6 linked regions of the Coturnix japonica genome follow. The protein of the gene in region 5 interacts with the protein of the main gene of each other region in a biochemical or structural test. Links are inferred from orthologs where the notes say so. Each region holds a gene or a part of one and is shown on either strand. Other genes may lie near its edges.

Evidence for each region.
Region 1: the proteins of HDAC3 (region 5) and NR2C1 form a complex in vitro, tested with the Homo sapiens proteins (4 studies listed by BioGRID). The link is inferred for Coturnix japonica from reciprocal best matches to the Homo sapiens genes HDAC3 and NR2C1.
Region 2: the proteins of HDAC3 (region 5) and PPARG form a complex in vitro, tested with the Homo sapiens proteins (3 studies listed by BioGRID, with this or other methods). The link is inferred for Coturnix japonica from reciprocal best matches to the Homo sapiens genes HDAC3 and PPARG.
Region 3: the proteins of HDAC3 (region 5) and GTF2I form a complex in vitro, tested with the Homo sapiens proteins (2 studies listed by BioGRID). The link is inferred for Coturnix japonica from reciprocal best matches to the Homo sapiens genes HDAC3 and GTF2I.
Region 4: the proteins of HDAC3 (region 5) and NR0B2 form a complex in vitro, tested with the Homo sapiens proteins (2 studies listed by BioGRID). The link is inferred for Coturnix japonica from reciprocal best matches to the Homo sapiens genes HDAC3 and NR0B2.
Region 6: the proteins of HDAC3 (region 5) and HIF1A form a complex in vitro, tested with the Homo sapiens proteins (2 studies listed by BioGRID). The link is inferred for Coturnix japonica from reciprocal best matches to the Homo sapiens genes HDAC3 and HIF1A.

What each region holds. Positions count from the first base shown.
Region 1 is NC_029516.1:41,307,213-41,311,336, reverse strand, and holds the start of NR2C1 (nuclear receptor subfamily 2 group C member 1), read left to right. Parts: upstream 1-1,324; 5' UTR 1,325-1,436; intron 1,437-3,188; 5' UTR 3,189-3,210; coding exon 3,211-3,264; intron 3,265-4,124. UniProt on the Homo sapiens protein: Orphan nuclear receptor. Binds the IR7 element in the promoter of its own gene in an autoregulatory negative feedback mechanism. Primarily repressor of a broad range of genes.
Region 2 is NC_029527.1:3,245,558-3,249,057, reverse strand, and holds part of PPARG (peroxisome proliferator-activated receptor gamma), read right to left. Parts: intron 2,675-3,500; 5' UTR 2,667-2,674; coding exon 2,447-2,666; intron 880-2,446; coding exon 710-879; intron 1-709. UniProt on the Homo sapiens protein: Nuclear receptor that binds peroxisome proliferators such as hypolipidemic drugs and fatty acids.
Region 3 is NC_029534.1:1,909,154-1,913,250, reverse strand, and holds the start of GTF2I (general transcription factor II-I), read left to right. Parts: upstream 1-1,297; 5' UTR 1,298-1,457; coding exon 1,458-1,492; exon of another isoform or gene 1,493-1,571; intron 1,572-1,619; exon of another isoform or gene 1,620-2,600; intron 2,601-2,756; coding exon 2,757-2,862; intron 2,863-3,359; coding exon 3,360-3,498; intron 3,499-4,097. UniProt on the Homo sapiens protein: Interacts with the basal transcription machinery by coordinating the formation of a multiprotein complex at the C-FOS promoter, and linking specific signal responsive activator complexes.
Region 4 is NC_029538.1:1,621,961-1,625,935, reverse strand, and holds NR0B2 (nuclear receptor subfamily 0 group B member 2), read left to right. Parts: upstream 1-1,175; 5' UTR 1,176-1,355; coding exon 1,356-1,881; intron 1,882-2,318; coding exon 2,319-2,599; 3' UTR 2,600-3,577; downstream 3,578-3,975. UniProt on the Homo sapiens protein: Transcriptional regulator that acts as a negative regulator of receptor-dependent signaling pathways. Specifically inhibits transactivation of the nuclear receptor with which it interacts.
Region 5 is NC_029528.1:14,737,486-14,740,985, reverse strand, and holds part of HDAC3 (histone deacetylase 3), read right to left. Parts: intron 1,959-3,500; exon of another isoform or gene 1,939-1,958; intron 1,569-1,938; coding exon 1,426-1,568; intron 218-1,425; coding exon 136-217; intron 1-135. UniProt on the Homo sapiens protein: Histone deacetylase that catalyzes the deacetylation of lysine residues on the N-terminal part of the core histones (H2A, H2B, H3 and H4), and some other non-histone substrates.
Region 6 is NC_029520.1:49,081,680-49,085,179, reverse strand, and holds part of HIF1A (hypoxia-inducible factor 1-alpha), read left to right. Parts: exon of another isoform or gene 1-2,868; coding exon 2,869-3,059; exon of another isoform or gene 3,060-3,396; coding exon 3,397-3,500.

The sequences.
Region 1 (4,124 bases), on a different chromosome or scaffold from region 5:
GCAAAGACATCTTTTTCAGAATATAGTTAACCACTTCAAGCTTTAAATACAGTCTCTAACACTAGTAGAAGTTTCTCTCACGAGTGCATAACAACCTGAATATACATACCTCAGTAATAAAACTTCTTAATCAGAGTGTGTGGATGTGGTCATTTAACACCATTAGGTTGGGGAGCACCATCATTCTGCTCTTACACTCCTCTTCCTCAGAAGGATGGGGAGGAGATGTGAAAAACTTTCATGTGTTAAGGTAAGGACAGGGATATCAGTCACCAGCTACTGTCAAAGCAAAGCAGACTGGAAGTGTGAGAACTGAAAGCCAACTGAAAACACTACCTTCCTTGCCCGCTCTCTTCTATTTCCCCACCCTGTGAGTGGCGCAGGGGAACTGGGAGTGGGGCTGCAGTCTGTAATGCTTCGTCCCTGCTGCTCCTCCATGGTTTCTCTCTGCCCCTCCTCCACATGGGGTCCCTCCATCCTTCTCAAACTGATGCCTCATGGCCTTCCCACAGGCTGCAGCTCTCCAAGCACTGCCCCAGCACAGCTCTGTACCACAGGGCCCACCCTTCAGGCACTGCTCCACATGGGTCCCCATCAGCAGCAGCTCCCCCAGCCTTCCTGCCCCACCACAGGCTTCACCCCACAGGTTGCAGCTTCAGATGCAGCTGCTCCTGCAGGGGCTCCCCATGTGCTGTGGCTCCTCCAGGCCTCATCCACTGCTGCACCATGGGCTCCTCCATGGCTGCACATGGAGATCTGCTTCGTATGGTACCTGTGGGCTGCAGGAGGATGCCCTGCTCCTCCATGGGCCTCTCCTGGGCTGCAGGCAGCTTTTGTTGAGCAAACCGGTTGTGGCTTTGGGGTCTGATAACCTTTCCTGTTAACATTCAGATCCATTTCTCTCTCCAGGAGGGAATGTTTCAAGAGAGATTTATCTCTCCTGTGTTTCTCAGGCCAAACGTTAGCAGGTGAATAGTACCTAAGCTGTGCTACAGAAGCGCAAATATACTAATGTGTACAAGGAAGAACCCGAGGAATGTAGCAAATGACCTCAAATTCTTTGCCAAGTGAAGGATTTTGTACTTGTTTTTAGTGATGTCATGTATATAGTTTTACATTGCTTCCTGTGCATGTACTTCAGCATGTGGACCAGAAGTCTGCCAGACCACTTTGTGGTCATATACGTGTCCTGGTTTGTTCTTGGGGCTGCCCGTTGCTTTATTTTCATCCTCTTTTTCTTGTTTCTTCACCAGGTTCATCCATAAAATTCCAAAATAAGTGTGTCTAAACTCCAAGGCTCACCTCACAGCAGTTTATAGAGCTGTGCGAATGCATGGGAGACTTCAGATGGCCTAAGTGGACATCATTCTGTGGCTGTGGAAAGGGGTGATCCTACAGTTCCAAGCCACCAGTGGTGCAGCAGTAGCATTTTTATGGTAATGTAATGAGTTAAGTCATTCATTGGGCTGAAAACTAACACAAACTAACATAAAGCTTTGCTTCTGGCTATGAGGTCACAGATATACCAGTGCTGGCATCAGGGGGTGCAGGCAGGAGCAGACCTCAAACTTGTGTTCAGCCTGTAGAAGGCCCTGGGGTGCTCTCATTGCAACCTTCCAGTAAATGGAAGCTTCTAAACAGGAGGGAGGCTAACTTTTGACATGCTCTGATAGCGATGGGAAAAGACTGAACAATTTTAAAGAGGAGAGATTTAGATTAGGTGTTAGGGGGAAAGTCTTTCCTCAGAGGGTGGTGAGGTGTTGGAACAGGTTGCCCAGAGAATTTGTGGGTGCCCCATCGCTGGAGGTATTAAGGACCGAGCAGGATTTAGCCCTGGGCAGCCTGAGCCAGTGGGGGACAGCACTGCCCATGGCAGAGGAGTTGGAGCTGGGTGGGCTTGAAAATGGTCCCTTCCTGCGAAGCTGTTCTGTAATTCCACTTAAGAAAACATCTGTTGGAATACAGTATCACAGCATCACAGTCTCACAGTCTTGTGCAGGTTGGAAGGGACCTTAGAGATCATCGAGTCCAACCCCCGGGATTTGAGCCCCTGTGTAGCAGAGCGGCACTTCTACCACTTGCGCCACAGGGGGGATTCAAACCGGGCATCAGCAGGCTTGAAAATCTTTCCTAGTGGTTGTTTTGCAGCTCACTGTATGTGTGAGTGCTTTAATAGAGCACTCCTGCAAAGATATTGGTACTGATTAGATTTTCTAAGGAGAGAATGCTTTTCAACGTAAGGTTTAGTCTTAGATGTTTTATGTATCTACCTGTCATCTTCTCAATTTAATGAATTAATGAATTAATTTAAGAGTTCATTGGGATAGTAGATAGTTCCTAGAAGTGCTAGCAAAGTTAAAGGGGGAAAATCGATTATACTTGTTATATGTACAGCTTTCCTACATATATAACTACTTCTATTAACACTTTGTCTGCAACGTAAAAGCTATATAATTCAAATATATTCTGTATTTGAAACAAATATTGTGTATAGATAAATCCTTTAATGTAAGAGTACTGTCTTGCCTTGTATAAGTGTTCCTAATACAACTTGTGTCAGAAAATGAAGTGTAGTGCTTCATAATTTGTGTCTGTTCCTTTCACAAACTGCCTAATGAATATCTGGACATAGATGCCCAGACAAACAATGCATACATCTGGATACTTAATGCTGCATTACAGCAGTAATGTATTAAATCCTAGAAAAACCTTCTCATGAAGATCTGGACTTCTTACCCTGCAACCGTAATACTGATGCTAAGTGTAGAATTGGCCTTCAGACACTCTTACTTGCACAAATGGATCCGTGTGTATTTAGAAGTTAAATTTTTTGCCCTTGATTTGCATCAACAAAATTGGCCAGGTTCTAGTTTTAAGGTGTTAATTATGTCCCTGCTAATGTCAGGGCCAATAATAACCTTCTGTTCTCAGGGAGTTCATTATTTTGTTGCTCTTTGTGAGAATAGTGAGGGAAAATGTGAGTTGAGTACAAAGATACAGAAGGTTGCAAATAGGAGATAATTTATTACTTTCACAGTATAATTAAGCTTCACATTTTTGCAGGGATGTCACCTGCAGACAATTATGAGTGTGATTTACGTCTATGGACCCTATTTTCCCGAAGGTGTTTTTTATTAGAAAGGCTGTAGATGTTAAGCATCTTCTTTCCTTTTTTTGTTTTTTGACAGGAAATTCTGGTGATTAACAGTCATGGCAACCATAGAGGAACTGGCCCATCAAATTATTGAGCAGCAAATGGGAGAGGTACAGAATTTTTTCATCATATTTAGGAGGCATTGAATAATAAAATGGACAGAGTAAGATGTAAAAATCCAGGTCCCAAGAGAAAGTAATTCTTAGTACACTCCAAGCTTCAGGAGACCCTCACATGGAAGATGAACTTATTGATTACCATCAAAGTTGTCATTATATAGATGTTACATTCCAGTTACAGAATTCATTCGTTGTCACTTTTGTTCTTATAAGTAAAGGCTTGCTGTGGTCTGCATTGTAAAATATTGGTTGACATTTGGTGTAAGTCAGAGGGAAACTGAACTCTTTCTGTTGGCTCCTGTTTTTCATTTCCTTTAACCTATATACAAAGTGTGCATACTGCAGCTAAAGAACTTCCAGAGATGCACAAGCAGTTTGGAAGTGTGAATCAGTGTATACATACTTAACTAGAACATTCGATCATTAGCAGCGCTTTAAATTAGATAAAAGCAGAAAACAACATTTATTAGCTTGAAATATCCACTCTTGGTTCCCTGTCTAGTACTGTGGATAGGATAAGATTGCACGTAATTTTAGTTCCTCTCGGTCTTGATTTCAAATGTAACAGCTGGGGACATGCAGGATGGTAAATCTGTTCTGTATAAATTCTTACGCTTTTCAGTATTGTAGCATCTGAGAACTACTAAGGTAGTTGTAATTTTTTTTCTTTCTCTCCCTTTTCCTCTTTACAGGGGGGAATGGTGTGTGTAGCGTAGCTTTGTTTGGTAGGATAAGTCCTTGGGGAAGCCTAGGTGGGGCTGTAATTCCTGTTTCTTGTGTTTTGGAAACTGGGGATTAGTCGAAGCTGGCTGAAGCATGTGTTCCAGTTGCAGAGGAGGATGGCAAGTTTA
Region 2 (3,500 bases), on a different chromosome or scaffold from region 5:
AGGTAGAATAAGCACTGCCAGTGTCACTGTCTCAATTCTGTATAGACACGCAAAGCACAGTTCTGCATGTACACAGTCTAACTTTGTATTAGACAGATTTCTGAAGAAAGCAATGCTTGTGTCATCATATCTGCACAGCAGCATGCTCCCATTCTAAAGCCATTTTCTGCCAGCTTGATACGGGTAAAAGTCTAAAAAATAAAAAATAAAAAATCTATAAAAACTAATGGGAATGAATGGGGTTGGAAGGATGCTATGAACATAAATTAACAGTACTACAGAAACTGTGAGCCCAAGAAACGGAAATAGGGCTTTTAGGGCTCATGGGACAAGCAGTCACTCTATTTCTTTCTGTTTGCACTGTGCTAACCTAATTTCACAATGTATATTTCCGGGTTCTATCTTTGATGTTTTATTTTCTAGTTTATTCCTGTTGTTAGGATTTTACAAGTTTGCAAAGTACACTGGCACATGAAAAAATTCAGAAACTTGATACCAAACTCTTGGTAATTATTAAACAGAAATCTTATGAGGTCCTGTAAGGACGGACATCATTATGGAAATTCACAGGTCTGTCTTTTGACAGTCTAAATGTACTTTCTGAAATCAATAATAAGTGATTAATAAAGAAACAATTTAAAAGACTTAAAGCTTATTTAAATGAAAATAATACCAAATATTCAGAGAAAACAGATTTGCAATGACTTACCTTACAGCCTTCACATGCATGAACTCCATAATGAAATCCAGAGGCCTTGTCCCCACACACACGACATTCAATAGCCATAAGTGAGTTGGAAGACTCCTCATGTGGTTTATTGTATAACTGCACTTTTTCAGAAAAATAGGGTGGAGAAGGAGGCTCCATTTTGATTGCACCTGCATATAGAGAAGATTTAAATGAGTAATTCAAAGTATGAGTAAAAATATGGTAGAAGGAAGAATCAGAAACAATCACAGTAAACATAGCCAGATTCATAGGTATGCTTTGTAACACAAAATGATGGTAGCAAACAAAGGATGTTAGGGAGTATAAGCTGTATGCAGATATTTCACTGGTAGTATGTAGGCTGAAAACCTTGAAGAGGCATATAGGAATCATGTCACAAATTCACTTTCCAGCTCTGTAGTGCAGAATGACTTTAATACAGACATGTAAAATTTGCATACAGAGACCTCCTACTTAAAAGGTCTTATTCCTTTTATTAATATCTAATTAGGTGACTTTAAGGTGTTCAGACTACTGCAGAGAGTTGAACTGGACACACTGATCCCATGAAAAACACCTAAGCATCTAATTAACCTACAGTGAATAATTTGTGTATTTAATGAAATTTAACTCTCTCCCAGGACTGCTCAACTTTGGATGCAGTTTAGAGATGAATATTCCCAAATTTTCTAAGTATTGAGAGCACACTGTGGTTGCTTGAGCTTATTCGATATTATAAGTATGACATATTTAAATCAATCACTGCTGATCAAAGAAGGCAATTGTGACAATTGACACCATATATAACATTACATCAAATCATACTTCAGGAATTACATGGCAGATGCAGTATTACCATAACGTGAATGTTTTGTTTTCTGTTTGGCTACACTAAATAAACCGGGAAGTTTTCTTTCCTACAGAAACTACAGGAAAAAAGGAAGCAGAAAATTAGCTGAGAAAAGACCAAGAGGATTTAGCATGCCTAATGATTTAGCTAATCAACTCTTTAGTTTGTTATGAAAATATTATGGAATTTTCTAATCAAGCAAAAGAGAAATAAATTATTAGCAGTAAAGTGTATTTTAATTCACTTCATAAATAACTCAGAAGCACACAGCACCTGGTTCACTCTACTACAAAACTAAATAGTATAATCTTCATGAAAAATTCCTACAAAAGTGATGTCAGATTTGAATAGACTCAGAGGATCTTTAAAAAAGTTCCAGGCACAGCAACCTGACTTCTTACTATGAGCAGGAATGCAATAGCAATTTATTTCAGAGTAGACTACTATTTTTTTATTTTTTACTTTTTCCTCCTTAGAAGGAGAATTCTGTGTACTGTCTTTACATAACTGGGGAAAGGCAATGGTTTTTTGTACCATATAAATAATACTAGGTCACAAAGCTTCAAGGAACACTGTTTTACCAACATAGATGCAGCCAATATTTCTATTCCATCAGTTTCTTAGCCTGTATGGAATTCAAAAGCTCTGTGTATTATTATTTTCTATGTATGCTGCGTGTTACTATATGACGCCTTGTCTAATCACTAGAGGCTACTTGAGTGAAGGCTGTCCTATCAGGATATCACGTGGATATCTCTGTTGATTTTTGGATTCACAGTCTCTGCATTTAGGCATTTGAATCCATCCAGTTCTTTTGCTGGTGGTACAATTTCTGGAGAACAAAGCAAATGTGAGCACGAAGAAACACTGAAAAATAAAAAACATACTTTGGCAATCCTGGAGCTTGATATCATACTTATAATCCATGCTCGTTTGATCAGCTCTTCCAAGAGGTATATCTTCATAGTGTGGTGAAGAAATGCTTGAGAAGTCAACAGTGGTAAATGGCTTTATGTCAAAGGAATGCATATGATCATCCATCGTAGACAGATCCACTGGGCTAATTCCAAAATTAACGGGCCAAAACGGCATTTCTGTGTCAACCATTGTAATCTCTGAAAACAAAAGAAGAAACAGGCTTTTTAAAGATGCTACTTATTTCTGTAATGTGTTTGAGCCAAAGTTGAGGCCTAATTGTCTACTGCCCAAAGGACCGAGATGCAAAGTGTTAATATCAGAATCTTAAATGCAAGGCTCGAGGAAAGTTATTTTATAGCCTTTTAAATCTCATGTATGTTTATGCTGTAAACAAAAAGCTTCAGCCTGTGAAAATCTTTGGCAAACTGAATAAATTTAGACTGAGTAATAAAATGTTAATCTGAGTCAGATGCATATCTGACAGTCAGATGAACCAAAAATCATTGACTTAAACTTCAACTATGAAAAAGTTCACAAACTGACTCATAACAAGTGTTCATATTTAGTTTTCTATGATTCATAAAAATGACATTTTTATCTAAAAATAGAATAGAAATTATGGAACTAAAATAATTTGGTCACTTTGGCTTCTCAATTTGGACTTCAGATCCATCAAATAAGCAACTTTTAACAGCAGCTTTAGCTTCTAATTGACTGAAATAAATGAGATTTAATTTACACAAAGAAGTTTGCATGTACATTATTAACTGCTTTCCTTCCACTGAAAACTATTAACCTCAGCTATGTTGTAAATCTGTTTGCCTATTTCTGGATCACAACACACACAATATGTAATTTCTTCGTACAACAAAACAGCCAGGCAATAATGACCCCAAATCAATGATGTTCATAAGCACTTCAGAATTATAAGAATTCGGTTTTGGATATAAAATCAGAACATTTCAGCATGGATTTAAAGATATAATCTTTACATATGACTGATCTCATAAATATCCTGCAAAC
Region 3 (4,097 bases), on a different chromosome or scaffold from region 5:
TGCACGGAGATGCTTAGAGAGCAGCATAAACAGCATCTGTGCTGCATTCAGAGCCCATTTGCAAGAAAACACTTTGGGAAAAGAAAATGCAGGGAAATGTTAAGTTGGTTTTGCTGGGTTAGGGGTTAACACTGCATGTGGAAGGGGTTATGATGTGGGGTCTCCTCCAGGCTGAATGCCCACAGCTTTGCTCTACAGGAGAGATGCTCCAGCCCTATGAGCATCCTTGTGGCTCCCTCTGGACCCACACCATGGCTTTGCCATTTTATTATTGGCAAAATTGGATGGATGGATGGATGGATGGATGGATGGATGGATGGATGGATGGATGGATGGATGGATGGATGCTCCCTCCTCAAGGATCAGGAAACAGCCAACTCCAAAGAGTGCTATGGGCTCATAACTCCAAAGAGTGCTATGGAATGTTTGTGTGGGCTCATAGGGAGGCTGGAGAAGCTCATAAGCATGAACTGCTGAGCATTCTGAAGCTGGCAAAGCTCATCATGGACAAGAACCTCCTGAAGGCAGCTGGGGTCTGGGTGAGCACCACAGGAAGGCATTGCATGTGCTTGACTGCAGACACACAGCTCTGAGGACGGAAGAGCAAAGAGGAATGCAGGTAGATTGTGTGGAGGAGGCAGTGGTCCCTTGGTCATATCCCTTGGTCATATCTCTTGGTGCTGGTCTATGTTGAACCCAAACTGGTCCTGTTCACTTGGGTCCTGTGTTGGATGAATACTAAGGGATCAGGCACTGTGCTGGGGAAGCCCTGAAGATGTGTAGTCCATTGATTTGTAATGACAGCATCTGTCCATTGGTTTGTAATGACAACGTCTGTCCATTGGTTTGTAATGACAACGTCTGTCCTGCTCCATGGAGCAGCAGGGCACAAAATGGCGGACACCCCCCTAAGGCAGAACACCCCTCCAAGGCCCACGCGTTGGGTTAGCACCCCCCCGCGCGGTGCACGCTGGGAGATGTAGTTCTCCGCCTCAGGCATTGAGCCGCGGCCGCACGGCGGGCGGACTACATATCCCAGCAGCCCCCGCGAAGAGCGCGCATGCGCAATGGTGCATCGATGAATACAAAGCTCCCTCGGTGAGGCGCTGTATTGAGCCCAGAGACCGCAAAGAGGGCGGCGGGTCTTTGGGCCCATCCCAGCACCGAGAGGCTGCGGGAAAAGGGGCCGCTTCCAACACTGTTCCGCTCAGCCCCCACAGCCTGGCCGCGATTGGATGAGGGAGGAGATGGGCGTGATTTGTATGCTAATAAATTAGGGGTGAGGCCTAGTGTGCTCCTGCGATAGGGCCGTGTTGGTGGGGGGGGGGGGGTGGTCCGACCGCTAATTGTAATTAACCTGCCTGGGCCTCGTGGTTGAGCCCCTTTGCATTGCGATCTCCGTGCTGTATCGCCGCCATATCGCCGACAGAACCACGCTGTCTGACTGCAGTGCAGTGATGGAGCTCCGTGCTGACAGCTTCATTGCTGCTCTGTGGGTAATGCTGCTCTATTTGTATGCCTGCCTTGTGAGCAGTGCCGCTGGATGTGGTTTTCATTGTGTCTAAGGCTTTGTGAGTATATATCAGCCTATTTGGGTCTGGAAATAGTGAGATTTGGGTTAAATATTGCTTTACTAGCAGACTAGAGGATGAAAGGAGTCAGAGATGCTCTTAAAGTAGCCAATGTTTGGGTTGTTTCATCTCTTTAAATGGTTTTCGGTAGTAGCAGAGGTAAAATGCATCTTCCTTAGCATCACAGGTGTGCCTGCATCCCAGCAGGGTTCCTGTGCTTTATTAGCTAAATCATATCAAGATTAATGTTTTCTAAATCAAACTTGGGGAAGAAAAATAGAGCTTTCTTCTGCTTTGAGCCAGTAATGGATCTTTAACAAGATTTGCTTGTGTTTAACAGCTGTGAGTTCTAATCTGTGCTGTTCTGATCCGGTTCTTTCTGTCCTTGGTCTGAAGGCTGATGTTTGGGTGGAATTAAACGTGTCTTGGCCTTGAAGGCAGAGCAGCCAAGGGGTGAGACTGGTAACAGCCAGGCAGCAGTCTGGCTTCTAGATAGAGCATTCATTGTAAATCCATGTTCCTTCTTCTTCCAGCTTGGTAAGGCAACAAGTGCTCAGTTAGAATGGTATTTGTTATAGAAATCCCCTGCTGGGCTGTTTTCCCTTGGGAGCAGCGGATCTTTGGCAATGTGCAAGGCTGAGTGCAGGCACGCTTGCAGCAGCTGTGTTTTGGGGTTCTTGGTTACGAGCCTTCCCATCTGCACAGTACGAGTGGTTTTAGTGTTTGTGCTGGGTTAGCTGCTTTGGAGCTGTGTGAGGCTGCTGAGGAATTTGGCTTGCACTCAGACAGCTCAACCCCTAATGAACTTGTGCTGAGAGTTACAGGGCACGTCACTCTAACACCGATGTCAGAACAGGTTTGTCGTTCTATTAATACAAGTCTTCTTCTGCTGTGCCTCTTCAGGCTATTGCAGATATGAACATACACAGAAAGAGAAGTCAGTGTAAATGCAGCTAATCAATTGATATGCATCTCTCTAGGTGTTTTGTCTAGACGTGGCACAGCATTTTAACTTTCAAGCAGCAGGAGGTATGGAAGAACAGAACAGTGAGCGATTTATACTGTTGCTGTACCTGCATATTTGTTCATATGAGGGTATTCTGGGTTTTTGAGCATGTGAATCTGTAGGTGGATATTCCTGCTCTGTTGCTTGTATCTGAACTGGCTTTATATTTGATTTTCCAGGAAGAGAATGGCCCAAGCTACAGTAGCAGCATCATCCGTGCGTGATGAAGACCCGTCTGAAAGCAGGATGGTTGTCACCTTCCTTGTCTCAGCTCTGGAGTCCATGGTTAGTGGCTGCAGTGCTATAGCAATACCTTACCTCCCTCTGGAGAGCTCTTGTGTCTGTACAGGAAGCCTTCCTGCTTCCAGCTCTGTTCTCCAAACAGAGCACTATTTGTGTTAAGTGTGCTGTGGAAGGATAAAACTCCTGTACTAATTCTAGCTAGGACAACACGATTATCTAATTGGAATCTAATTGAAGTGATAATTTCCGAAGGATAGACTGAATAAATCATTTTAATTAAAAGCAGTTCAATTCCTCAGTCTAGATGAGAGCTTAATTTCACTAATGCACCTACAGTGCTTTTAAGGTTTCTCATCAAAAGAATTCCAGATACATAAACTGTCCTTTGCTAATGACTGACATTATGTAACTCATGATATCTTTTGAGGAGTGGATGCTGGCAGCAGGAGTAGTAACTGCTTTAAGTGATTCCACATACATCTTATTACTGTATACGTTTAACAGGGATGATGAATGCTTTTCTCTTTGTCTTTTCATAGTGTAAAGAACTTGCCAAGTCCAAGGCAGAAGTTGCCTGCATTGCTGTCTATGAAACAGACGTTTTTGTGGTTGGAACTGAGAGGGGAAGAGCCTTTGTTGATTCCAGGAAAGATTTTCAGAAGGATTTTGTGAAATACTGTAAGTTTCAAGGTTGTTTAGTTTTGTATTTCACTCCAGCTGCTTCACGTATATTACAAAATACTTGTATCTCTTGAGAGCAGCGTCCTGTATATTGTGGCTGCATTCTGCAAGTAACACCTGCTATAGAATCATTGCTGCATTGCTTTTGTACTCCTTCACATCTGTGGGAGTGTTTTTTGTTTCTGTTAATTTGATATAGTGGAACTTGTGTGATTATGAAGCTTGATCTGTTGTGTACAGGGCAGTGTTTTGAGAGTGGGCTCTCATAGGTGCAGTGATTCTTTGGGTGTTTTACATGCGTGTACAGGAAAATGCTGTTGATGTTCAGTGCTTAGCCAGTAATGCAGTGCCCCTTTATCTGCCTGGGGGAAGGGAGAAGATGAAGGTCAAGAGCAGGATGTGAGAGGACAGCCAGTCTGGGGGAACTTTATAACAACAGCTGTGAGATGTTCTGGCTTGACTAATTACATACTGCGTGCAGTGCAACCGTGTTTAATCTGTAACTGGAAGATCTGCTTCTAAAAGTGCTTTTGCTGATAGCTAAAACTCTGAAGAATTCAGCTGTGGTTAAGCTCTGGATTTGCTCACTGTTGTGC
Region 4 (3,975 bases), on a different chromosome or scaffold from region 5:
CATCAGTGTGGCCATCAGTTCCATCCCATTTGTGCACCAAGAGCTGCGTGCCCTTAAATCACAGAATCAATCACAGAATGACCCGGGTTGGAAGGGACCTCAAGGATCATGTAGCTCCAACCCCCTGCCTGGCAGGGCCATAAAACATACACATTTACTAGATCAGGTTGCCCAGGAGACCCCATAGATCCCCATAGAGACCCCATAGACCCCATAGACCCCATAGAGACCCCATAGACCCCATAGATTCCCATAGAGACCCCATAGACCCCATAGACCCCATAGAGACCCCATAGAGACCCCATAGATCAGGTTGCCCAGGGCCCCGTCCAACCTGGCCTTGAACACCTCCAAGGACGGGGCATCCACAACCTCCCTGTGCAGCCTGTTCCAGGGCCTAACCACTCTCCTAGTGAAGAACTTCCCCCTAACATCCAACCTAAATCTTCCCTCTTTTAACTTAAAACCATTTCCCCGTGTCCTGCCAAATCACTTGTTCCCATCCTCACAGGGTTCACCAGGCACCCCCTGTGTGAGGAATTCCTCACAGGCCCCACTGGAATCCATAATTGTGTGCTGTCATTTAACTAATGCTGATCAAAACATACAAATTCCAGAGCAATTCAAGGTAAAAACCTATAAACCTGCCTCTCACCTACCCAGCATTACTCCTTCAGCACAATGGGCTGCTGCCTTTAGGTTTAGTCTTTCAGTTCACCACCTTCCTTAACTGCAACAACACCGATCTCCTGTCAACAAGGTTAGGCAAACAGCTGCTGATAAAATGACTTCCAGGTTGCTCTTTCCAAGGCCATTTGCCATGGGGTCCTCGCTTCAGACGAACACCCTGTGTGTGTATGTGTGTGTGTGTATGTGTGTGTGTGTGTGAACTCCTTGGCAGCGACAGCTGCCAGATAGCACAACCTGATTGCAGCGTGGGGCCTTGGTGCCATGGTACAGCCCGGGTTAATGACTTTGTTTATACTGTTTGGGTAATTGTGATAAGGCTGCCCAACCCGCTGCCCCTGCTGGGGTTTCATTGAGAAAACGGCCATTGACGCCATGCTGAGATCCTGCTGGTTCCAGCCAATCAGTCTGGGGACAGCTGGGGTTGGTGGCTTTTTTTTTTTGTTGTTTTTTTTCTTCTTTAATGAGGACCGCTTAATCACGGAGCGGTCAAGGCTGGGAAGGGGTGTTCCACTTGTGACCGAGCCTTATAAGAGCTTGTTTGAACAGCCATGTGCTGGCAGAGCTGGGAGGACAGGTCACTCCCAGATTGAGACGGGGAGGAAACTTACAGGTCTCTCCCATCTGCGGAGTTTCACAGAGGATCCGGGGCTCCCAGTTCTGCTCTGATGACCAGCAGCATAGACATGGACTGCGAGAGGTGTCAGTGCCAGCATGAAGACAAACACCCAGCCATTCTCTACACCCTCCTCAGCCAGAACCTGAGCCACAGCCCACCTCACCAACGCTGCCTGTGCCACCAGCGCTGGACGGTCTGCCTCCGGACACCCCATATCACCTGCCAAGCTGCATCCGACGTGTTGGTGAAAACCATCAGCTTCATGAAAAACCTCCCTTCCTTCCACCTGCTGCCTCGAGGGGACCAGCTCCTGCTGCTGGACAGCTGCTGGGTCCCCCTCTTCCTCCTGGGGCTGGTCCAGGAGACGGTGACATTTGAGGTGATGGAGACCCCAGCCCCCAGCATGCTTGAGAAGATCCTCCTCGATGGCCAAAGCAAAAGGCAGGAGCCTGAGTGGACTCAGCCCATGCTGGCCGCTGTGCAGTGGCTGCAGTGCAGCCTCAACACCTTCTGGAGCCTGGACTTGAGCCCCAAAGAATACGCCTACCTGAAGGGAGCCATTCTCTTTAATCCTGGTGAGTGTTCAACCCTCCCAGCTCTGCCTGCTGGTGGCAAGAGAAAGCCCTGCATGAGTTAGCATTTAAAAACACTGCTCTTGGCTTGGAGTCGCTCAGAGTTTGGGCAAAAGTGTGTGTGAGAGCAGGGAGAGCTGCTCACATCATTAGCACCAGCAATGCAGTTTACCTCTGGGAAGCAGGGAGGAGGGATACTGAAAATGTAGTGTTTAAAAGCAGAGACCTCCTTACCTTGCAATCAAAGAACCCTGGGTCTTACTCTACAAAGCCCATGTTTGCTTCATTAGCTGTATTTACTCCCTCAAAGCAACAGCCCTGAAATACATGTTGTTAATGGCTCTGAGGTTTTTCTCCAAGATACGGGGAGAGAGATGGGAGAAACCTCGAGCTGTTTTCCAGCCTTCCTCTTCACATCCTTCCCTCCTTTCTCTTGGCAGATGTCCCAGGGCTGACAGCCTCCCTGTACATCGAGAGCCTCCAGCGGGAAGCCGAGCGAGCGCTTCAGGAAGTTGTGCAGATCCTACACCCCAAGGACCAGGACCGCTTTACCCTCATTTTACTCATCACCTCCACCTTGAAATCCATCCCTCCTGCCCTCATCACAGACCTCTTCTTCCGACCCATCATTGGCAACGCAGACATTGTCGAGCTCATCGTGGATATGCTGTATGAAATCACCAGCTGGCAGCCGGCTCCTTCACCACGCGTGGCTCTGTGAGCTGCTGTGCTCTGCCACAGCCCTGGGGGTGCTCAACAACACCTGGCAGGGCAGCAGGGAGGACTGTGGAGCAGGCAGTCAGGCACTCAGCTCCACAGGGCTTTGCGTGTGCCTCTCTCTAGGCTGTAGGGCTCAGAGCATAAAGGAAAGCAGCCTTGATTCAGCATGGCTGCTCCACCTCTGCCAGTCTGTTTTGAGGAATGTGAGTGTGTGTGGCTGGTGGTACTGAGTTTCTAGCAAGCAGGCCAGCCCTGTGACACAGAGCAGACTGAGTTAGAGCCTGCTCCAGGCTTTTTATATCTCAGTGAATCCTCAGTTCAATTAAAATCAATGTGTGTTTTGTTAACTCCATGAGATGAGGTTGGACCTCAACTTGCTGCCCGTGATGGCTCTGTGCTGATAGTGGTATTTAGGGGTGCTGAGTATCTTCGGTGGTATCACTTGTAGAGTACAACCAGGTGCAAGCCGTAAGGAATTAGATCTTTAAGTATCAGCCAGTGTCTGCTGTGCATGAAATCTCACAGACAGCCACCAAGAATCCTCCTCAGACAGCAGGAGGGAGAAGCATCAGATCTTACAGGGCGTGCAGCCAGCTTCATGAACGCCTCCTGCCTCTCATCACATCGCATCTCCTCCCCACGATGCCATGAGCTGCAACAGGATTGCTCACAGATTGGATTACCTAAGAGCAGTGAAACGTACGGCAAATAACGCTGCATGAACACCACTTCATCCTCCCTATACACCTCAATATATATATGGCAATACTTGGAATGGCTCAGGAACACACTGAGCTACAGACACTGAACAAACATCCCTGCCTTGAGTTCCAGCTGGTTCAACATAGTAGGAAAGCTCGCTTCTCCTGCCTGCAGCTTTTGTCACTGATGTCAGTATTTAATGAGCGGACCTTCATTTGATTTGTACATAAGATGCAGTAAATTATTTTTTTAATAAAAACGTGTCACATTTTGGTGATTTTTTGTTATATTTCTGGCATTTTGGACTTGTAGAAATAGCTGTTGGAGGTACAGTGTGGGAAGGACACCTGAATGCAGGGATGGAGCATCATAGGGAATCATAGGGGAGCATTGCAATGCAGCCCCATGAGCTGTGCTGGGCACACACTGCTCTGTGCACTGAAACCTGCAGAGGCAGCACAACTGCAGCCTGTCTGTGCTGCACCTTCCTTCACGCACACAGCCACACCTGGAGGTGCTGATGCAGGAGGTTGGTGCTGACTCACCTGGATGTGCACACACAGCCCTCAGCCCACAGGAGAACAGCCATACAAAGCCTCCTGGCTCCCCACCACCATAAACACACCGTGTTTGAACAGCAGCCTGCTGGGAGAACTGTGTGCTGCCCATCCGTGC
Region 5 (3,500 bases):
CATATAGTGGAAAGAATTTACACTGCAAAAAAGCATAGTTTGCTACATTATTATACTAAACACATTCATGTCATTGAACTGATAGCCAGTTGTTTCCTACCAGTGTTTCAAAGACAAGCCCATCAGCTCTGTTACCTTGTTGTTCAGCTGCGTTGCTCCCTGCAAGGAGGCCCCAGTGTAGCGAGAGCAAAACTCAAAGAGCCCTGGAAACACTGGGCTGAAAAAGAAAAAAAGAAGTCATGATTCAAACAAAGGACATCTTCTTATTCCTCCACACGCCTCCCAAGCAAAGCCAGTCCTGAGAGCTCTCCTCTGCCACAACACACCAGCATCTGTCTTGCAGCCCTGCTGATGTGTGTCCAGAGCTGGGATATGACTTGGGAAGGAGGACAGGTCTGCCCCATGCTATCTTCCTTTATCAGCATTGAGAAGACCCTGCCCATTCCCCTTCCCAACTCACAGCACAGGATGCAATATACAGTAAGTGGATGTGAATGCAGCTCTTACAGCAGAGCTGAGGCAGGACCAAACCCACCATGCAGAGCCAATAAATGCACCAGGATCTCTAAGAGGGTATAGAAACAGAAGATGTGGTGCCCATGTGCCACTAACTCACAAGTATCACATCACAAACATTATACGTGGACAAATAATAGCTTAGAGACTTTTATTTCCCCCCCTGTATTCTTGTAAGTGGTTTCTGATCAAAGTAATGTTGCACAACAGCCTTCTGATTCCCAGTCTAAATATTAAAAACCCGGCTATCCCAATACCTTACTGGGATAACACTGTTCTTTATCTAATGTCACTCCTCTCACATTAGTACTTACAGCTTTCCCTTCCAAAGAATAGAAAAGAACAGTCTTATTCTCTGACAGCCATTACTTTCCTCAGACAAGGCATACTGTGCACTTCCTCGATCACATACAGCCCTTCTACACACTTCTGTCAAGGTTTGCCTCTCACAGATGTGAAAGACTGGAACTGAATATTTGTAACAAGCTCTCATGTGAATATAGAAGCATTAAACTCTCCTCAGTTCTACCTGAAAATCAGGCTCTCAGAGCTACCTTGCACTTAACATGCACATATTAAGGTAGCTAAAATAGGCAACAGTTTAAAAAAATAGATATATAATATTTTCAAGAAGAACAGGAGGTTCTGCAAGAACAAGCGGAGTCACAGTCTCTAACATAACCAGTTTAGGATGTAAATGCAGATCTAAAAGGAGGATGATAAGATATGAAGAGAAGGGGAAGGAATTGAGGAGGTTGCAATAATCTGCTATGCTCAAGAAGGGCATGCACCTCATTCTGCTTAAAAAATAAGAACCAGTACACACTACAATAGTTCTCCAGACACAAACAGTGCAAGATCACAGCAGCATTTCCACCCCCAGGTTCACAGGAGGCACAGAGCACTCACCAGTCATCGCCCACATTGAAGGCATTGAGGCTTTTGGTGAAGCCCTGCATGTTGTTGGGACTCACTCTCTGCAGGAAGTCTATGTAGTCCTCGGAGTGGAATCTGCACATGTCATGCTGCGATGCCTGGTATGGCTTGAAAACCTTCAAGAGAAAGACAAGACTTACATGCTGTCCAAAGCTGTGTTTGCTTTGACTGTAAGAAACCTCAGGCTGACAAATGACCCACACAAAGTGTATCTAAAAGTGTTCCAGTACACCAGCTTCCTGATATTCACGTTCATTGACATGCAACATTCCATAAAGCCTGTTTCCCAACAGATTCCTATCTTTTAGCCATAACTGCAACTCCAGTCCTTCATAATAACTGCAGCTTCTCCTATACACTCTCTGATCCCTTTTTTCCAACACTATCCCCCCTCGCTTTGGTTGGACAAATGGCAAACCAGCAAAAATAAAAGGCAGTCGAATCCAAACTTCAGCTCTGTCCTCATGGGGAGCACTACTGCCTCACCAGTCACAACATCCTGATGTAATGGAGGTTCCAACCCTCCATCACAGCCGCCTCCAGGGGCTGGTAAGTTCAGACATTCATTTGAAGAAGGTTCTTAGGCAGATGGAACATTTGCATAAGCTTTGTTTCCTTTGGAAAGTCAGCTAAAAACAGTCACGTGGCCGGATGGATTCGAACTAAAGTTCTCATGACAACACACATTTGCCAGTTTGGCACTTAACACGCATACCTCAATAAACAGGAAGTTAAAAATCAACACCACATACCCAAAAAGGGGAAATTAAAGCTACACTGAAAGCAGTAACAAAATCTTCCATCTTTCAAAGCTTGTCTTAATTAAAGCACACTCTCCAGAGGGAGAACATGCTGGGGCAGCTCCCACAGCGCACCTCCCTTGGGCCAGGCAGGACCCTGGATACTTTTCAGAAGTAAAATACAACCTAACAAACATGACATCTCCTTTACTGTGCAACTGTACTGCTCAGCATGAGGCACGGTGCTTTCAATGTGAATGTGTGGAGCTCTGCTCCTCAGAGGCTGCTGCCTGAGACAGCTGGAGCCAGGAGGGTGGGACCAGCAGGTGGGGCTGGACCCCCACAAGGACTATCAGGAATCCTGATGACTGATCACCTCAAGACCACAGTGTCACAGAAAAGAAGAGACACTCACAGGACATTAAGAGGTGCTCTTGGATAAAAAACAACCAGGGGGAGCAGAAAGGAGGGATGAAAAACAACAAAAAAAGACAACATCAAAAGCTTCCAGACCTACTTGCTGTTGGTAAAAGTGGAAAGCTGCCTCTTTTCCCCTCATCTTGCCCTTCACTCACTGCAGCCATAACCCCAGGCACCTCCCTGAGCATGCCTGGCACTCAGCCCCTCGCTCAGCCAGCTCAGCACAAAGCTCTCCTGGTTTTGCTGAGTGACCGAGTTCCATCTGTTCCCACAGGATCCAGCAGCTTCCAAATGCAGCATAGGAAAGGCAGCAGGAACACACAGCAGAAAAAGCAGGGAATCATAGAATCACTCAGGTTGGAAAAGACCTAAAAGATCATCAAGTCCAACCACAGCCTAACCATAGTACCCTAACTCCAACAACCCTCCGCTAAATTGAGGCAGAGAAAAAGCCTCAGAGTGTGGAAGGAGAAAAAAGAGCAGGTTTTGCTGGGGCAGGAGATGGGGACAAGAAAATCAAAGGAAGGGAAAGGCCACATGGCAGGGTGGGTGGCAAGGACCAGGAGTTCCACTGGGAAGAGAGAGCTGATATTAAAGGGGGATAGAGCATCCCCTCCAGCCTGCATTCCATCACTGTGCCAAACAGGGATTGGCTTCCCAGTGACTGGCCAAAGAAGTCAGCATACACCAGTGTGAGGATGGACCCTGCATAGGGCTCAACTCTCAGCAGCTGCTGATTAATACACCTGCAAAAGCTCCTACAATGGCAGCAGAAAAATCCAAAGGATGCGATGTTACTGAACACCAAACTGCAGGAGTAACACTGAATGCACAAGGGAGCTTTTTTAATACTTCATCATTCTGAATTAATTGCAGATCTTGCATCAC
Region 6 (3,500 bases), on a different chromosome or scaffold from region 5:
TATATCTTGCATTAGATTGCTTTCTGCTTCTGTATCCCATGGCTAGAAACACAAAATGGAAATGAATGTCTGGCAGTGAAATAGGGCAGGAAACATCATACCTGAAAATGCAGGCAATTTCCTGCCTTCCATGGGCATTCCTGCTATTTTCATTGCATGTATGATCCCACTCTTCAACTGTGATGATCTTCTGAAGCTTTAGGTGCAACAGGCCAAAGGTTGTGATAGTCATCTTAAGTTTTTGATGTTGGTGTTGATTAATGAGAACTCTTAATTATAGACTATAGTGACACTTTCTGGCAGCTACACAGTGTGCTTTTTCATTGACTTTGTGCAACTGGAAGTAACAGAGCTTAGATTTGCAACAGCACAAGGGTTTTTTGTTTCTTGCTTTCTCGTATTTGGTGACATCCCATGTTGAGGCAACTCTGACTTCACTTGGTAATTAAACTTCATTTCTGAAAGACCTTTTCCCCATTAATTTGATCCATTAAAGAAATGCTCTTTCAAGCTGGAGGTTAATCTTCCCATTTAAATTGCTGGGTTTTACCCAGATTAGTTACAGCTTAGTTTTCAACAACAGCTAAAAATAGTAAAGCGTTCTGCTGTACAGTTTAAATGTCTATCTATAGTGGTAGCCTTTCTCGTAAGGAAATATGTAGTAAGAGGGAGACCTGGGTCTGCTGCTGGGACATCACTGTTATGAACATTTGGGCTTTCCTTAAGTTTTGCCCATTGTAATGCTGGGCTTCCATAAGCCGTGCTTGATTCACTTGCTGTGGGTTTCATTTTTAAGAGCAGCACTGTGAGCTTGATTTGGGCAATATTCAAGCTAGTAATCAGACATTTAAGGGCCATGGAGAGTTCTGACTTCTCTATTGAAATCTATGCTGAGTGTCCTGAAACCAAACATCAAGAATCCAGCTGAAATGTTTTCAAGAACATGGAGCTTTCAGACAGAAAACAAATGCACGGTAAAGGACTATTTCCATCTCCTGCATTGCCCTTCATTACGTTTCCTTTTTACTTGTGAGCCTGACAAATGCTCAGACTTGAAATACACAGCATTATTGCTAAAGCACAGCTTTAGGTTAAAAGAGCTGTCTGCAGTTGAAAGGGAAGCCATAGTAAAGCTCTGGCATCCATGCCAATGGGAACCAATTACTTCGAATAATTCTGTAGTGGAACGAACCGTTTGCAAGTGAAGGGATCTTGAGTAGCTAACAAAGGAAAACGGGAGGTATAAAGGTGAAACTGTTTAAGGGCTGTGACCTGTATTACCTTTGTCAGAGGCAAAACCTGTGGTCATAGAAAAAGGCCAGAATTGTGAATGGTTTTTCACCTCCACCCTTAGTTTTCCACTGAGATAAAAGATACTGGAGGTCCGACTTCAGTAAGGAATGTTGAATCCATTCTGTTTTAAATAGCTGAATTATTCTTTCAGTACCATTAAAGCTCAAGCTTCTTGTAGTGACTTTCAGGATATACCTATATGTCCAGGGCCTTGGGATTCTTAGGCCAAGATATCCATTTCTTAGTCTTCAGGCTGTGACTGAATGCAGAGAGATCTGCAAGAGAAGAGAGATCACCAGTTACTTCATGCTGCACTTCTGAGGAACACAAACTGCGGTCATAGAAACTGATGGACTTAGTGCACGTCAGGGATTTTTTACTAAGCTAATCATCCGTTAGTTATCTGAAGGTCTCCATTTGTTTATATTTAACTGCTTCCATTGAATCTGGTTCCTTATTTCCCTGGTAATATCAGCATGTGAGTCTCTTTCTTTGGTCACTCTCGGTACCTCTCATAAGATGATGTGCTAATTAAAAAGTTGTATTATATTTGCACAGATCCACAGACATAGCAAGGATAATTTGAGTGGTCTACTGCAATTAGCGAAGTGTCATTCACAATCTGCAGTAGCAAATATAATACAATGTAACAAAGGTCTGTTTTCTGCCATCTTCCATTAGTAACATTTGATCTCTTCATGATGACGTTCAAAGGCACCTGCTTTGAATTACAACAGCTGTACTTATAGAGATACATTTGTTTTCAGTGCAAGTAAATGGAGAAAGGAGGGTCTACTGATCAGTACAACTGTGCTTGGTATCTCAAATACATGCAAAAAGAAGACTAGATGCCTTCAAAAGATATAGATAGATATAGATATATACACAATGCAAAAGCATAATGTATTACTTTCCATAGTCCATTTAAAAATAAAAGCACATTTAACTGCAGTGACCTGATTTCCACTGATGTGGGCACAGGGAGAAGGGACAATTATTGGCATTATTGAATGGCTGAGGATTATGGTTGTTTCTATGCCTGCTGTCATTTACTTGGTGTGTTTGAGGGAGGCAATGGAAGAGGATGTGCAGGGAAAAGTGGGAAAGGGACTTTTCCAAACACTTGAAAGGCAGGACTCCTCATGGTAAATTTGCTTATCTGACCTGTTTGGCAGGCTTTGTAAGGATGACAGCTTTAGCATGTGAGGGATGAGGTGGTATAAAGGGAAAAACTTGGAGAGTGTAAATGGTATTACTAGAGCATCACAGTGGATATAAAGTAAGCTGCAGCATTTTAGGGGGACGTTAGGGTTTAGTGGGGAAACAGGTTTTGAAGGCTAGAGAGGCAGAAGTCAGTGTTCAAGAGAAGGACTGAAAGAACTGTTCTGAAGGACTGACCTTTCATGGTTCTGAATCTAATTCTGGCAGAACTATATACTCTGAACTGCATTTAAATGTGTAAATTGAAGTTTGAACTTAACTGGTTAACTAGCTATGGGCCAGCTTAGTCCATTCAGCATTTAACTTGAGGTAATTTTGTAGCTTTTATATTAATCCTAAACTTTTTAAATACAGGATTAGTTCTGAACGCAGGAAAGAGAAGTCGAGAGATGCAGCCAGATGCCGAAGAAGCAAGGAATCAGAAGTGTTCTATGAACTGGCTCATGAACTGCCCCTGCCCCACACTGTCAGCGCCCACCTGGACAAGGCCTCCATAATGAGGCTGACCATCAGCTACCTGCGCATGAGGAAGCTGCTGGATGCTGGTAAGTGCAGAACTTGTCAGCAGAACCTGGCAAGGGGCTGGATGTGTGTTGAGGGTGACAATATTTCTGAATCAGACAGTGGTTTAAAAGAAATTAATAGCATTTTTGTCAGCTAGACTTTCCTTAAGGTAGAAAGCTTACTGGTGGATGCATGAAAGCAGTCTCACTCTGATGTTCTGAGATTCCTGATACCATTACTAGACCTTGAATTTAACTGAGAGCTTAGATAAGTAAATGATGCTTCTTCTGTACATTTCTGCAAGATTGGCTCCTTGCAGACTGGATTTCTGAAGATAAGAATGACTGATATTTACTGGAATAAAAATGTCTCTTGTAGGTGAGCTGGAGACAGAAGCCAAAATGGAGAAGGAACTGAACTGTTTCTACTTAAAAGCTCTTGATGGATTTGTTATGGTGCTTTCTGAGGATGGGGACATGATT